3 linked regions of the Oryctolagus cuniculus genome follow. The main gene of each other region encodes a partner of the protein of the gene in region 2 in a complex. Links are inferred from orthologs where the notes say so. Each region holds a gene or a part of one and is shown on either strand. Other genes may lie near its edges.

Region 1 (5,516 bases), on a different chromosome or scaffold from region 2:
AACAGACCAACCTGGAAAAGCCGGAGAACAACTTAAAAATAACTTCAATTCTCATTTTCTGTGAACTTTATCTTTTTAATAAGATTTTGTTTTATCTGTTTGAAAGGTAGAGTGACAGAGAGTGGTCGTCCGAGCCTGGTTCACTCCCCGGATGGCCACAATGTTCTAAGCTGGGCCAGGCCAACGCCAGGAGCCAGGAGCTTCTTCCAGGTCTCCCATGTGGGTGCAGGGCCCAAGCACCTGGGCATCTTCCACTGCTTTCCCAGGTGCATTAGCAGGGAGCTGGATTGGAAGTGCAGCAGCTGGGACTCGAACCAGTGCCGCAGGCTGAGGCCCAACCTGCTATGCCACAGCGCCTGGGCTCTGTTTCTGCCGCCAGCTCTGCGCCAGGAGCCCCAAGGCCGAGCTCCCAGGCCCCAGAGGCTGCACAGCAGGGCTGGGACACCAGCCACATGGGGACCGGCTGGCTGCCCCCAGGGGCGTCACATGCTGTCTCACTCCAGAGGTGCAGCTTCAGGTGCCACTGCTGGGGTGGGGGTGGGGCCTATCTACAAGAGCCATGGGACAGACGCCCTTCGAGACCCCACCCCACCACACAGGGCTTGGGCACATGTGGGTGGGCGGGGCTTCAACCCAGCCCCTGGGGTCCTTGCCTGGCCCTGCTTTGCCCTCCTGGAGCTCCTGGCCTACCGGGCCACTCCCGGGTCCACGCGGCCGGCCAAGGGTCCCTCGGCTGGGGCTCGGCATCTGGACCTCACCTTGTGCAACTGGACCTTGTGCAACTCCAGCCCCAACCCCTGTGGCCGCCCCAGCTGGCCCCGTCAAACATCCTGGCTTCCACACAGAGACTGTGCCCTGTCCCGCTGTGGCCACGTGGCCAGGTGAGGTCTCTGCCAGCAACCCGGCCCAGGCTCTGCCTCCGGCTGGGCGGCTGTGCCCAGCCTGCCTCCCACTCTGCCGGGACTGCCACCAGCCACGCTGTGTCCCCTGGGGTGGTCTGAGTCCTGCCTGGCCCCCACTCCCAGCTGAGAGCTGAGAAAGGCATGGGTGGACACAAACGGAGTAATGAGAACGAGAGAGACAGAGAGTCAGAGAGAGAGGGAGGGAGGGATGGAGGGGAGAGCGGGCGCTGAGAAGTACGGGCCCCAGTCCAGGCTGGCAGAGGGCTCTCTCTGCTCCGGGCAAGGCTGTGGCTCCAGGCTGTGTGTGCATCCATAGGCCTGGACCATAGAGTTAGCCCGGAGTTTAGGCCACAGCCTGGACTGCTCCGTGCTGGGCCTGTGCCGCTGCTCACTGCCCAGGGCCTCCTCACAGGCTCCTTGTGAGGTCACTGGGGTGAGCCACAGGCCCCAGGGGTCACCCTTGCGGTAACTGGTGGTGCTGTCCAAGGCAGGTCACTGTGGGGCCATCACCAGGTCCCGCGGAGAGGAGGGGCCACTCTCTCGCCTGCACCGAAGCTGTTCCTGGTCCAGGCCTCTGAAGCAGCCCGGCTGGGGCTGAGGGGGGGTCAAGGTGGCAGGGCCGGCAAGGGTCTCTCCTAGTGATACCGGGAATCTACCCGGGTCGGAGCCGGCTCTGCGGGCGAGGGAATGGGGGGCCGCTGGGGGCTGGGGTCCTCTCCCTAGACCCGCGCTGCAAGGACCCCGAGAACAGGGGGTGTCCGGGTTCCCGTGGAGGGCCCGGGCCTGGCCTGGCGGGGGCGAGGTCGACGTCGGGGTCGGAGTCTCGCCAGGGCCGGGGCGGGGGGCGGAGTCCGGGTCTCGCTGGGGCCAGGGTCTGCAGCCAGCGCTCCGCACCGCACCGCACACTGGCTCCGCCCCCCGCCCCGACCGCGCGGCCCCGCCCTCCCCGTCACGCCCGACGCGGGGGGGCGGCCCCAAGTGACGCGCGCGCCCCGCGCCCCGCGCCCCGCGTCCCGCTCCCCGCCGTGCCCTTCAGCGCCGCAGTCGCTGCCGCCACATGGACCCGGCCGGCCCGAGCACGCCGCGCTGACGCCCGGAGGTGAGGGCTCCAGCCCCGGGCCTGCTCCCCCTGCCCCGCGGCCCCGGCCCCGGCCCTGAGTGCCGGACCCGCTCCCCGCTCCGTGCACCCCGGCCCCGAGCGCCGGTCCCGCTCCCCGCACCCCGCACCCGGGCTGCAGCCGCGAGCCCGGGCTCTCCCGCTCTCCAGTCCCGAGCCCCGGCCCCGCACCTCGCACCCCGGCCCCTGCTCTGGTCCTGGCGCCCGCACCCGGCGCCCCGCAACCCGGCCCCGCCCAGGTCCGCTGAGCTCCCGCGCTCCCCGCCCGGCGGCCGCTGTCCCCGCCGCGGTGCTGAAGCGGCCCCGCGCCCGCTCCTTCTCCTCCGCCTCCGTCCCCTCTTCCCGCCGTTCCGTCTCGGCCCCGGCCCCGGCCCCCCCACCCCGCCGACCTGCCCCCGGCCCCCGCCTCCCTCTGTCCTTTCGTCTTCGCGCTTCCGCCCAGGGCGCCTCGCCAGCCCGCACAGCCGAGCGGCAGCGGGGCAGGCGGCGGGCCTGGGTCTTTAGTCCCCGTGGGCTCTCAGCCCGGGCAGAACTTGGGCAGAGCAGGGGGCGGCAGCGAAGGTGCCCTTGGGGCCAGCCCTGCCGGAGGCGTTCCCTGCCCAGCCCCCTCCCCGCCCCCTGGGGGTCTCCTTCCTCTGCGGAGGGAAGGAGGTCAACCCGGGACCCATGGGGCTGGGTCTCCCACACAGGGGCTCTGCGGCACCTGGGTTCACAGGAAGCCTGCAGATGGGGGGTGTCCAGCCCCTGCCTGCCCCCCAGGCCGCCCCCGTGGCTTGGCACCGCAGTGGCTCCTGGTCGGAAGGCACAGGACCCCCCCCCCCAGCCCCAGGAGCTGCAAGGCAGAGCAGTCACCTTCAAACGCCCCTGGGCCGCCCGCTCTGCGGCTGTGCCAGACTCCTGCAGCCGTGCCCCTCCCTGCAGGCGCCTGAGAGCTGGCTGGCATCGGGCCCGCTGCCCTGGCCTGTGCAGGGACCAGTGCGCCCCAGCCTACCTCGGGGCCCTCCCCACGGCCACCTTCCCCTGCAGGGTCCAGCCCACGAGGCATCGGGACCCCAGACCTTGCCAGGGGAGGCCGGCAGGGGACAGGGAGGAGCCCCCGGGCCTCTGACCACTCTCTCCCCCAGGAGGAGAACTCGCGGCCACACTCGCATGTGAATTCTGACCCTCGCTGAGGCGCTGAGACCTTCGTCATGGAGTTCGTGATGAAGCAGGCCCTGGGAGGTAGGGAGCGGGGCCGGGGCCAGGGAGGGGGCTTGGGGCGGCCCCATGGGGAGCAGGTCCAGACGGATGCACCCGCTATGGCAGCGAGGGGCCACCGCACACCTTGTGGATGCCCCAAGGGGACGAGGCGAGGAGGCCCGGGAAGGGGCCGTGAGAGGCAGGGGCAGGCGAGTCGGGCAAAGCTCAGTTGGAGGACCTAGGGTAGGTCCCAGCCAGGCCTGACGGCAGCGGCATCTCCAGGCGGACAGAGCTGTGGGAAGCCCGGTGGGTTTCACCCAGGTGGTGGTGGCACTGTCCCCAGGACCCGGGCCAAAGAAGGGGCCCAGGCAGCTTGTGGGGCCCAGGCCCGTCCACCAGAGCGGTGCCACCCGCTACCTGACCACATGCTGGACCCGTGGCTGGGTCCCTGGCCAGGAGGTGGCGGGCAGTGGGCTGAGGGGTTGCGAGGCTTTGGGGCCGTCTGGGTGCGTGTGGGGTCTGCACAGGGCAGCCTGTCCTGGGCACCCAGCTCCCCCGGGTCAGCTCCTGGGATGGGGCCTGTGCCAATGCCTGCGTCTGTGCCGGGGTGGCGCTCAGGGTGGCCTCTGTCTGACCCGGTGCCTCTGGGCTGGGGACAGGACGGGAGACCTCTGTTCTGAGGCAGCAGGAAACGTCTGAGCCTGGCCCAGGCCGCACTCCCTGGGCTGTCACGGTCCAGGGTGGGCTGCGGCTGAGTCCCGCTGTGGCGCTGACGTCACCGGGACCAGGCTCAGGGACAGGCAGAGTCCAGGCTCCACGACACGTGTTGTGGGCAGTTGGCCAGCGGCTGGCTCAGGCCCTGAGGTGGGCCTCTGGAAACCGCAGTATCTGGTGTGGCTGTCTACACGGTGAAGTTAGCCAGGGAATCGCCAGCCTGGATTCGCTCTTTGTGCCCCTGCAGTGGCTGTGAGCAGCCAGGGGTGGCCCCTGGGGGCCCCGCTCTCCGATGGCTACACCGGGCGCCTGGACACTGAGCGCGGCTGCTGGGCGGTGTCTGGCGTCCTTGAGCCCGGGCGAAGCCTTCCTCTCCCAGTGGCGACGTTTCTGGGTCTCTGGCGGGGGCGAGGGTGAGGGGCAGGCCCCAGACCGACAGGCAGCAGAGGTCGGCAGAGACACTGAGGGAAAGACAGAGCCTGGACGCAGGACCCTGGCAGGAGCGGGAGCGGGAGCGGGAGCGGGAGGCTCCAGGAAGCCACCCAGGGAGGACAGGCGGGGGCGGGGACAGAGACCCTGGCCCGGGCGCTGTGGGTGTCCCGGGGAGCAGTGGAGGAAGGGCAGACCCCGGGCCTCCACAGGTCAAAGCGTCCGGGGAAGGTGGCGGCTGAGACCCAGGCACGGGAGAAAAGTGACTGCAGGGCAGGCAGGGGTGGAGACAGACACGCACCCCCGCACACATGCATGCCCACGCACACACGTGCACGTGCTCACGGACATGCAGGAGGGAGAGGCAGTGGACGGCCGTGGGCACACACACACGTTCACCTCTCAGCACGCATGCGTGCACAGGCACACATGTACACACACGTGCACCCGCTCACAGAGACGGAGCAGACACGAGGGGAGGGCGGCCCCCTTACCCTCCAGCTCCCTGGGCTGCCAGCATCCCTGCAGGGGGCAGCGCCCAGGGCCTTCCCGTCTGCGCGGCTGGGGTCTCAGGCAAGCCGTGCTGGGGCACGGCTGTGGGAGGCTGTGGCTGCTGTGGACACGGGACCTGCAGCAGACGGACAGCCGCCCCTGTGCCGGGCTGGTGTCACGCAGGCTCCCTGGCAGGGTGCATGCCCCTGGCCCTCGATGTCCAGGCAGCTGGCCTGTGGGCCTGTCGATGCGGAGAGCTGGAGGGAGCCTGGTGTGGACGGTGGCGAAGTCCAGGAGGCTGCAGGACTTCCTCCTGGGTGCTGTGTGAGAAGCAGACGCTGCTGGTCCCACCCTGCCCTGTCCCCCTCGGCCACCCTGCTGGACACGGAGTCCATGATGTCACCTGGGAGCACGAGGGCGGGGCTTGGGGTCAGTGCTGCTGGACAGAGAGGCGAGCGCGGTCCCCGCCCAGGGCAGGCTCCCGTGTGCCCGGCTCAGCCGTGGGGCCCTGGCGCTGCGTCTCAGGCGCCGCCCTCTCACCTGGCTCCCTCTGACCTCCTGTCCACCCCCCACCTGTGCTCTCCCTGGGCAGCCCGAGGCCTGCTGCCCGGACGGCGCCCTGCTCTTCCCGACCTGTGACCTCTGACCTCACAGCTCAGCCTCGGCCCGCACCTGTCCTGGGG
Region 2 (4,960 bases):
CAGGCTCTGGAGGGAAATTTCTGAAGTACACATTTTGGGCGATGCAAAGCCTCCAATTCTGCCAGAGGAGTTGATCACAAGCAGGAACAGAGAAACACACTGAGCACGTCTGTGCCCAGGGACTCTGGACAGTGATGGCCACATGGTCCCAGGCACTGTTTTCCCTGCAGCCACTCTGTGTCCACAGAAGTGACTCAGAGGCTGGCATCGGGAACAAGTTTTGTTTAACCCACACTACTTCCAACAGTTCCCCCCAGAATCAACAGCTCACTGATGAACCACCAGAACCAGGAAGAAAGGAGTTGAAAGGCAGCATCATCAACAGGAAATAAAACATTTTTATTGAATATCCGTGTAATATGTTAAGTCATTTTTAACAACAATCAGAAAACTACTGTGGAATTCACTACACAAAGAGAAACAAAATTTAAACCACTTCATCAAAAAATGAACGTAAAGTACAGCTAAAGGGGTCGGCTCGCGGGCCTCGAGCCATATGGCAGAAGAAAACACCCTGACATTGCTACAAGATACAGGGAAAACCCACACGTAGAAACACTCAAGCAGGCAATAAATATACACAAAGGCAACTAGGATCTTTCTAGAGCATCAGAATCTAACACTTTACACAGCTTTGTCAGGAAGGGACAAGTGGCTTGTCCGAGAAAGGGTCTTGGTCATCAAGCAGGTTTGGTCGCTGACTTCTGAGGGTGGCATAGTACCAGCGGTTCTATGGTGACAATCCCATGTCTGGCAGTGTTGCAAGAGAATGCATTAGTAGTACTTTAATGCAAGAAATAATGTATATTAGGCAGCCTGAACCTGCTTGTTTTAAAGTGTTGTTTCACTGCGAACAACTTAAAGCTGAATAGAGTGAAATTAAATGCCAGTTTCTGGTATTTAAGGAATTTTCAAAAGTCAATCAATTCCCTTTCTTTGGTAGGGTTTGGTCCTTTGTACTGGAAAGAGTCTCATTTGAATTTCCTGTTCACCTCTATGCTTTGTCTCAAATTATGACTTGTGACTTATTTCTACTGTCTATGTTTCTTTTAAGAAGTAGGGACCATTGACAGAAGAAGGAGATATTTTTCTTTGATCTTTTGTGTCTGTCCCAGCACTAAACCATTCACTGTGACTGGGCTGAAAGGTGGAAGGGTCTGCCTCTTTGATGAGAAAGAATCATGACAAGAATTCTAGTTTTGTTGGGAAACAGCCAAGCCCATGTTCAAAGCCTACCATCAGCCCTTTTTGAATTCTCTTGAATTTTTCAAAAGTAAACATGGCGTGATATCCTAAGGGCCGAACACGAGGCCAAGGCTTGGGTTTCCTCCATTTTGTTTTGGTCTATGTGAATATAAACTTTGACGTTGGAACATCACTACTCTCTGTGGCCTGAAGGTTCACGCGGGTCACAGAAGTGAGTGAGATGAAAGGCCAGATGCACTACACGTACATCGGCTGCCCTTCCACAGGGTGGTTTGTCTGCCGTAGCGGGGGGGTGGGGGAAGAATATGGCATATTGCACAGTGCTTGACAAAGTGCTGTGTGTTCCACCCCGCTCTATGTCTCTTTCTTGTCCTCTGCATAGCTTTTCCGTTGCAGATTGGTCCTTTGTAATGAGAACTGTTTGTGCTACACACACCTTGGGCAGTGCAGTAGAGGGAATGGCAGTATTGTTACATTATCACTAAGGAGTAAGTTGAGTGCTATCCACTGAGGAAACTACGTGTCTAAGCACACAGGGCAGTCACAGTGTTACACAGAGCAGTCCTTAAGACGCTTATGGAATGACTAGTAGCTTCTTAATAGTGCCATGTACTACAGAATAACATGGAAAACATTTAAAAACGCCTCCTAAATCAAGCATCTAGTATACATAAGAGGTTGCTTCAGGGTTCTAGAACTTGTTCTTGGTTTTGTTTCACCTTGTTAAAGGACAAATTAAAACTTATTGAAGTAAAAAGAGTATATAAAAAGATCACTAGCTGTCTGTTTTGGCTTAATTGAAGTGCATTCAGAACTATGGCTAAATTTATTTTTCATCTTTAGACGGGATTACAATACTGTCTGTTTACCACAAAGTAGTTTTGTGTAATAAGCACAGATTGCTGTGTTAAAAATATTCTGCATTCCTTCTAGTCTGGATTTGTATAATAAAATATTTTGTTACAAAGTCTAATGTGCAAATCTTTTGGAATTATTATAGGAGTGAAATCTGGAACAGAACCCGCAGGATGTACATTTTGTATAAAGGTGATAACGGAGAGCTGCTTTTTTCTTTTTAATAGTCAGGCAACATTTCAGAAATGCTGACTTTTCTTTTTAGCTTCTTCTCCCGCTCACCCATCCCTCATTTCCCCATCAAAAATGCACCCCCCCCACCTCCCACCCCAACACCCGTCCACACTGAACACTACATAGTGTCACTGGAGATGCAGTGACGTGAGCTCACTGACTCCTGTCCAGTTGCCTCCTCAGATGTCAGCGTGAAGCCGTGATCGTAGCTTTACTCACAGGTATGGACAGATGCTACTCTGGTTCGTGGCTATGCTTCCTTGAGGTCTGCCAAAATGCTGCTCAGATCATGCTGTTTTGCCTGTGAAGGGATTTTACAAAACTGGAGTCACCCACCAAATAGGTGGCATAAGCGGATCTTGGTACTCAAATGACTCAATAGAAAGCTCAGGTTTAAGTTGTCCTTTAAGATGTCCGTTTAACTGTACTAGTGCCTTACAAGTTGATATTTTTGCTGGAATGCAGACGATACTATATTTACCATATAATATATTATCAGCTCTCCTATATCTCAGTCCATTTACATAGTTTAAAATAGAACATCTTATTAAAAACATCTAGATATACACAGATTAGGAAACGCTTACAACATACAAATACACAAACTAGAAATGAATCTTGAGCATACTGGTATATACAACAGTGTGATACAATAAATAATTTCCGTCATGCTCTATCTACACATCATATTGCTTAAAAGAAGATTAGATTTGGAGGGCAGTGGTATGATGAAGGGCTTAGGGGCTCTCTACACTTAAATTTGTGCAAATTAAAACAGGAGTTGAAGTACCACTGAATCGTGTTGGGAATGCATGGCTGGGAAAATGAAAGGACCCCTATTACTGAGGTATTTACAGATACTGGCTAAAGAGCACTATGTGGGCAAATGCAGAAAGGTTGCTTCTTTCCTTTACTTCTTGACGGCCAGCATGGCATCAACCTCCTCCTCCACCTGAAGGGTGTGCCACTGGGCGATGGGTCGCCTGGGGTTGGCCAGCATGTCTGACCAGTGTCGCAGCTCCGCACCAGTGCTGTTGTAGCCCACAAACACTTTGCCGATGGCATCGTTCTTGCCAATCTTGTCATAGTCCAAAACAGTTACCACCACTTGCACTTTCTGAAAGAGGATGAACAATAAATGTTAATCACCTAGACAGACAGATAAATCCCTGTTATAACACTTCCTTAAGATCTAAAGAAGGGACGGCGCTGTGGCACAGCAAGTTCTTGCCCTGGCCTGCAGCGCCAGCATCCTACATGGGCACCGGTTCGAGTCCCAGCTGCTCCACTTCTGATTCAGCTCCCTGCTGAAGCACCTGGGAAGGCCGTGGAAGATGGCCCAAGTCCTGGGACCCCTGCACCCACATGAGTATCTTGTAGAAGTTCCTGGCTTCTGGCTTCGGATCAGCTCAGCTCTGGCTGTTTAGGCCATTTGGGGAGTGAACCAGCAGATGGAAGACCTCTCTCTCTTTCTTGCTCTCTCTCTCTCTATGTAACTCTGTCTTTCAAATACATAAAATAAATATTTAAAAAACCCTAAAGAATTGGAAATAAGAAGAATGAATTTCCAGTCACCAGGAAGAGGATGAAAATGAGTTGAACATGAAAACCTGTGTTCAGGGGCCAGCACTGTGGCATAGTGAGTTAAGCTGCCACCTATGACAATGCCAGCACCTCCTGTGAATCCCGGATGCTCCATTTCCAATCTGTCTCCTTTCTGATGAAATGGGAAAGCAGTAGCAGATGACCCCAAGTGTTTTGGTCCCTTACACCCATGCGGGAGACCCAGATAAAATTCTAGGATCTTGGCTTTGGCCTGGCCACGAGGGCCATTGTGGCCTTTTGTGAAGTGAATTCTTTCTCCTCCTCTCTCTGTGTAACTCTGTCTTTCAAATAAAATAAATCTTTAAGAAAAAGAAAACTTGGCTCTGGTCTTAGTTTTTCCATTACTATATCATCATTGTCACTATCTTCACCATCAGAACCCTTAAATGCTAATTTGTGTTACATATTTTGCATTCGTCTGAGTCTCATATAGGAACTAACTCAGTCCTCACAGTAGATCCCATTAATATTGCTATTATACAAAAATGGATGCTTGAAGCTCAGAGAAGTTACATAACCTGTCAGAGACGGCATAAGAAATGAGTGGTTTGGTTGCCAGAGCCTCTGCTACAAAGCACTAGGCCATGCTTCCTGTGGAAACGTGTTCATCTCTAAATCCGCTCATCTCAGTTGTTATCATCAGTGACGGTTTTCCCATTGGTACTCAGGCCGTTCTCTCTTTGGTTGCATTTCTCAAAGCAACCTTGTGCTATACTCCCATTTCAGGAGGGGAAACAGCCAGTATTTTTCATAAAACTAATATAGAATATCGGCCATTGGAGGGTGAACCAACGGCAAAGGAAGACCTTTCTCTCTCTGTCTCTCTCTCACTGTCCACTCTGCCTGTCAAAAAAAAAAAAAAAAAACAAACAAACAAACAAACAAAAAAAAACTAATATAGAATTTGAGCTAAGCTTACAAGGGTAAAATGTGATAATACAGTGAAAGTCTTTAGTAACTAAATCATGATATCTTTGTCTCTCAATTAGCATTTATTAACTATTGTGTATCTGACATTGACATTAAATGGAAATAACCTTGTAGACTACATGGGATTTAC
Region 3 (5,742 bases), on a different chromosome or scaffold from region 2:
CCTCTTCAGTGGGCCCAGGTAAGGGGGCTGTGGCGCCTGAGGAAAATGATTATCTTCCCCCAGAACTTAAAAGTGCTTCTTCCAAGAGTACAAGATTTCTATTTTAGCAAGTAATGAATCAATAACGGGGAGTAGCGAAGTCCCCTGGAAGAGGAGAAATGGCTCCCTCCTTGCAGGACTTGGCTATAACCTAATTGCAATATTAACATTTAAATAAAGAATGTATCAACCTCAAGGGCCAGCAAGGAAAGCCTAGTAAAGGCAGAGTCCCTGAGGCCCAGTGGGCAGAGCCATTGCAAGTACCAAGTACCACCCTGGAAAGCGCGCTTTAGCCATAATTTTATAGAGGTCCAGGAGCATTGGCAAGGCTGCCTGCAGCACGGAGGTGAGGATATAGAGTTGTTGCCAGGAAGTTTTCTGGACCCGTTGGCATTTGGGGATTGTGGGGAAATTAGGCACACGAGGCAATTCAAAGGTGGGCAGTATCCAAAGTCGAGAAGGTAGACAGCGATTCTGAGGGCGGGCTTGATGGGGAGGTCTGGACTGGAGTCGTTTACCACCAAAGCTGATTGGCCGTGCAGCATCATGGGAGGTGACGACAACTGATGACCAGTGTACAGACATATGGGTGGTCCTGTAAAAAGTCGCCCTGTAAAATGACTTTTTAAGTAATTGGTTGGTCCTTATGCCCTGCCCCAGTAATCCTGCGGTCTTGTTTTAAAAGGCATTGCTACGCATGCAATAAATGAGTTCTTGCTTACTTGACTTGACTCCCTGCTGCGTCTGACTGACCCCGGGATGGGGGGGTAGGGCTGGGGAACCGGCGAGCGGCACACTTAGCTTTCTTCGGACCCAGTCCATCCTTGTTTGGGTGGACTAAGACCCTGCAGGGGATGGCGAGATGCCATTAAAGATACAGATACTCCAGTTCTGTCGTCGGGGCATTTATACATTGACATTGTCATTCTGATTTGGCTTCAAGGAGAAAAGACACATAGACATGAATTTTCAGTCTGGTTGACAGTAAAATTTTCATGGTGGGCTAATCCATGTTGTGGCTTTACATTTTAGTAAATGGTGAATTTTGTTCGCACACATGAGTATTTCCGAGACCCAGCTTTGGAGCCTATAAAACGTAGGCCTGCATCTCTCTCAGTGGTAAATTCAACATGGCAGATGCCCCCCGTGAGATCCCTTGGGACACAGCCTGTGAACCTTTTCCACGTCATATATCCCAGCACTCTGAAACTTCCGCATGGAATGAGGATCACATACTGTTAGATGTGAAAAGGATCGGATGAAGCATCCAGCCCAACCTCTCCACTTCCCAGATAAGAAAACTGAGTTTCGCAGAAGTTAGAGAGCTTGGAACCGGTGCATTTGGCACAAGGGTTAAGCCACCACTTGGGATGTGTGCATCCCATATTGGGATGCCTGGTTGAGTCCCAGCTACTTGACTTGTAATCCAGTTTCCAGCTAATGTGCACTGTGGGAGGCAACAGATGATGGCTCAAGTACTTGGGTCACCCATGTGGGAGACCCAGATTGAGTTCTAGGCTCCTGGCTTTGGCCTGGCTGAGCCCTAGATGTTGACAGGCGTTTGGAGAGTGAACCAGCAGATGGGAGACCCCCCCCCCCCTTTCCTTCTCTGTCCTTATGTTTTTCAAATAAAATGAAAAATACATTTTTAAAAATTAAAATGATATAAACTAAAAAGCTATAGGAAAAAAAAAAAGTAGAGAACTTGACCAAGAGCTGACAGCTTGTTAGAAGTGAGAACCCAGGTCAGGCCAGCCTATGCCAAGGCCCTGCCTGCAATAGGCTCGCTCAGGATGTACAGCCCCAAACCACCCCTGTAGCCTCTCATTGTCCCCGGAGTAGCCGTGGTCCCCCAGTGTCACCAAGTAGTATGTCCAGTTTATTGGTACAGGGACAAAGGAAAGATAGAACTGAAACCAATTCACGCCTGTCTGCCTGCAAGTGGGTGGCGGGGGGGGGGGGGGGAGTGAGAGTGAGAGTGAGAGTGAGAGATAGAGAGGCCGGGCTATGATGGAGGGAGGGAGTGAAGCAAAGAGGAGAAGGGCTTTGTGGGGGCTCCTGTTTAAGTCCTTGGAGCATGAATGGCAGGGGCACTCACTGCCAGATCTGCAAAAAGCCCCTTCGCTTCTGCAGTCCCCATCCCTGCTGCACCCAGTGCCCGGAGGAGCGGGCTGAAGGAGAGCTGGCAGGGCTCCAGCAGGCTTGGCCTCCGGCTGTGCGCGATGAAAGCCACACCTTGTTAGCCCCGCCATCTCCTAAACACCCAGGTAAAGGTGGAGCACTCTCCTTAGGGGAGGAGGCTGTGGGAAAGGGGTTTGCCTAGGAGCCGTGGAGCCCGTGGAAGGCGGGCGTTTTGCAGAGAGCAAGAGCCCCTGACCCTCGTGGGTTCTGCCACACTGGGTCGGGGGTGCCCAGGAAGGGGCTGCCTTCTCCCCCACCTCCCTGTCTGTGCGCTCCTCTTGTTGGCGTCACGATTTCTGTCTTTCCTTACTTCAGGGTTGACTGGGAAGGGGCTGCGAAGGGCTGTTGGGCATTTTCTGCTGTAGCCGCGACAGTCTCCTCTAGCCCCTCATCTTTCTCCACGGTGCCCTGGGTCCCTCCATCCTCTTTGCTTCGCCCCCCCAACAATGGTCTCTCCCGCCGCTCAGTGGCGCGGGGAGGGGGGGGGCGCGGAGGCGGGGCCGGGGGGGGGGGCAGGTCTGCATTGCCGCTTCCCCCGGTGCCCGAGCAGTCGCCGCTGCCGCCTCAGCCCGCCGCCCGGACCCCCGCCCTCTCCCGGGACCAGCTGGCCGGGGTAGCCCAGCCCAGGTGAGACCCTGCTCGCAGCCTCTCATCTCCACCCCGCCCTGCCAGAAGCATCCTTGCCTTGCCTTGCAGCCATTTTACCCTCGGATGCTTTGCTAACGGGGAGGGTGACAGTCCCCGCTCCAAGGGTGGGGTGGGGGGTGGTTTGAAGGTAGACGTTTATTTCAGAGGTTGGGCTGTTCAGGATAGAAAAACGTATGCGTATATGTGTACATTTATTATGTGTGCATATATATGGCGAAATGGGAGGAAGGGGTATATTTTTTCTCCATTCGCCAAGTCCCTACCTCCTCTGAAGATAAGTGAGGTGGGGGGGTTGTTAGGTGGGGTGGGGTTCCCTCAAACTCCAGTTCCCCCCTCATCTCATCCTCCCCTCTTTCTGCCCCCAGCCATGAATGAGAAATGACCTTGGCTGGGGCCAGGGAATGGATGCTGCCTTGGTCAGCTGGCCTGGACCAGGCTGGGTGGGGGCATGGAGGGAAGGGGGCCGAAGAAAGCCCCACTGGGGGGGGCAGAGATGGAACAGACCAGGTGTTGGGGGCACGGATGGGGTGGGGGAGGGGGGTTGAGTGACAGTGGGCACTTGTCCAGAGCAGCCCCAGGGTGCACAGGTGCTCAGAGGAGCAATTCTGTGGGTTATAGGGGCTCATCCTTTGTACCAGAGCTGAGGAGATGGGCGCAGTGGGGGTGGGGTGGGGGGTCAGCGCAGAGGCTGTGTCTGTGCCCCTGCCCGGGGAGGGGGGGGTCTCCCGCATCCCTGCCCCTCTGCCTGCCTCCCCGTGTGCATTCCTCCTGTGCTTTCTCAGCTGACACCTTCATTTTTTTTCTCTCAGGCTGTGGATGCTCCCCTTTTCCTAGCCCCTGGGGTAGGCTGTGGGCAAGAGAGACGCAGTCTTGTTCTTTGGGTAGGGGCTGAAGCCCAGTCACCCAGTTGCAGTTGGGAGGGGGCTCCAGCACCTTCTACCCCCCCCCCATGCCACCCTTGCATTTGATAAGTGGCTGCTTCCTACTGACCTTGTCCCTGGGGCTGGAGGGGACTGGGTGACAAGGTCTGGATGGCCCTCTAAGTCAGGGGCTTTGACTGGGCAGTGGGGGCTCTGGACCCCCTTACCCAGGGCTGGGCAGGTTGTCCTGAAAGGAAGTGTTTGCCCAGGAGTCGCTGCCCCCTTCTGCCCTCTGCAGAAAATCTCCTGGGCACGTTTTTCCGGTCAGGTGAAGCCAGTCAGCCTTAAAGGGCTGTGCAACCCTGAGTCTCCTCTCCTCCAACCTCTGCCTCCCCAAGTCTTGTCTCTCTCCCACAAGGCTCAGCCACCCTGTGCTGCTTTGGGGGCTAAAAATAGCATGACTGCCTCACCAGCTCAGAGAATGTGTCTCCTTTCTCTGCCTCCTGGCCGGGTGGGCCCTGGGGGAGCCGCGGGGCGGGCGTCGCCGCCAGGACTCTCAGTGTCAGCAGGAACAGGGCCGGCTCCTGGTGGTCCCTCTGCCTCCCTCGGGGTTTGAGGGGCGATCTTGGTGGGGAAGAGAGGGAAGGCCAGTGAATTGTCACACACTGGGGGGATCCCCCAGCTCCCTGTCTTTCGTGGGGGATGGTAGGGCCCTGAACCCTGGAGGAAGGAAGGTGATGTGGGGGTCACTGCTCTGGGTACCGTGGTCCAGTGCTTACATTTGTCCTGAGGGGGGAAGGCTCTGCTTGCCAGTGCTTCTCTCTGGAACCACATAGCATTACTTACCCTCTGCTAGGGAGCCGGGTGCGTGTGTGTGTGTGTGTGTGTGTGTGTGTCTGTGAGAGAGAGAGAGACTGAATGAAGGCCCTGGGTGGGCAGAAGGAGGCAGGATAATTCTAGGGCTGTGATCTCTGATTGGAATCTGGGCCTGCTTCCTCTCTTCTACGAAGGAAGGGAGGGTTATCCCAAGCCTTCTCCTGAAAGGTGTCTCGTCCAAGGAGGCCCAAGGCCCCCTTAGCTGTACGCCAGCCTCCTACGCAATGCAGTATTTGTGGACTCCTTTTCCTTGACTCCTGGAGAAGGAGCAGAAAGGATTAAGGAGGATTAAGGAGGGAGGCCCTGGAGGAATGAAGTACAACCATAGACCTCAGGTTCTCATGATGGAAACAAATGCGTTTGATCATATAGTTAGAGGGGAGAGAGAGAGAGAGAGAGAGAGAGAGGAGAGAGAGAGATCGATCTTCCATCTGTTCCATCTGTTGGTTCACTTCCCAAATGTCTACAACAGCCAGGATTGGGCCAGGTGGAAGCCAGGTGACAAGAACTCAATCCAGGTCTCTAACATGGGCAGCAGGGACCCAAGAACCTGGGCCATCATCTGCTACCTTCCCAGGTGCTTTAGCAGGAAGCTGGATCAGAAGCCAAGGAACCAGTACTCAAACCAGCACCCCTATATGGGATGCTGGCTCCCGAAGGGTAGCTTAACTCACTGTTCCACCATTGCCTGCCTCAGTGCTGGTACCCTCTGTGGCTGCCCTTAAAGGGCATCCAGTGACAGCTTGTGTTTTGGTCCTTGTGGCGGAGGACGGGGCATGTCACTCCATTGCCATCACCAACCGGCAATAGCCACTATTTATTCCTTGCTTTCTACGTGCCAGGCTCTGTGGTAAGGAGTTTATTGCATTGTGTCACTTAAGCCTTACTTTCCCCTTTCTAAATAAGAGGAAACTGAGGCTTGCATGCTCAGAAGCATGCCTGTGGTCACTTAGCTGCTAAGTGCTAAACCCAAGCCTGCCTGGCCAGGTGTGCCGGGCTCTTACCCACTTGGCTATGCTGGGAGGAGACCCCTCAGTGGGAGGCTTACACACGTGTAAGCAAAGGCCATGAAAGTCCAACCTTCAGATGCCCACTGTGGACTGAAGACAACAGTAGGAGGCCTTCTTCTCCTACTCCT

Evidence for each region. Proteins that work in one complex are often made in the same cells at the same time.
Region 1: the proteins of SYT1 (region 2) and CPLX1 are in contact, whole or in part, in a crystal structure (PDB 5W5C), measured with the Rattus norvegicus proteins. The link is inferred for Oryctolagus cuniculus from reciprocal best matches to the Homo sapiens genes SYT1 and CPLX1. Residues at the interface, in NP_001028852.2 of Rattus norvegicus: Glu271, Thr383, Gly384, Glu386, Thr406, Leu407, Gln408, Glu412, Met416; in NP_074055.1 of Rattus norvegicus: Val61, Met62, Gly65, Asp68, Lys69, Tyr70, Lys74.
Region 3: the proteins of SYT1 (region 2) and SV2A are in contact, whole or in part, in a crystal structure (PDB 4V11), measured with the Homo sapiens proteins. The link is inferred for Oryctolagus cuniculus from reciprocal best matches to the Homo sapiens genes SYT1 and SV2A. Residues at the interface, in NP_001129277.1 of Homo sapiens: Thr291, Lys314, Lys326, Lys327, Lys328, Glu342, Ser343, Phe344, Ser345; in NP_001315603.1 of Homo sapiens: Asp82, Thr84, Glu85, Gly86, His87, Asp88.

The regions. Positions count from the first base shown.
Region 1 is NC_091433.1:199,163-204,678, reverse strand, and holds the start of CPLX1 (complexin-1), read left to right. Parts: upstream 1-1,845; 5' UTR 1,846-2,001; intron 2,002-3,143; 5' UTR 3,144-3,209; coding exon 3,210-3,240; intron 3,241-5,516. UniProt on the Homo sapiens protein: Positively regulates a late step in exocytosis of various cytoplasmic vesicles, such as synaptic vesicles and other secretory vesicles.
Region 2 is NC_091442.1:82,297,135-82,302,094, reverse strand, and holds the end of SYT1 (synaptotagmin-1), read right to left. Parts: intron 3,413-4,960; coding exon 3,206-3,412; 3' UTR 319-3,205; downstream 1-318. UniProt on the Homo sapiens protein: Calcium sensor that participates in triggering neurotransmitter release at the synapse. May have a regulatory role in the membrane interactions during trafficking of synaptic vesicles at the active zone of the synapse.
Region 3 is NC_091438.1:48,033,272-48,039,013, forward strand, and holds the start of SV2A (synaptic vesicle glycoprotein 2A), read left to right. Parts: upstream 1-2,071; 5' UTR 2,072-2,306; intron 2,307-2,691; exon of another isoform or gene 2,692-2,847; intron 2,848-5,742. UniProt on the Homo sapiens protein: Plays a role in the control of regulated secretion in neural and endocrine cells, enhancing selectively low-frequency neurotransmission.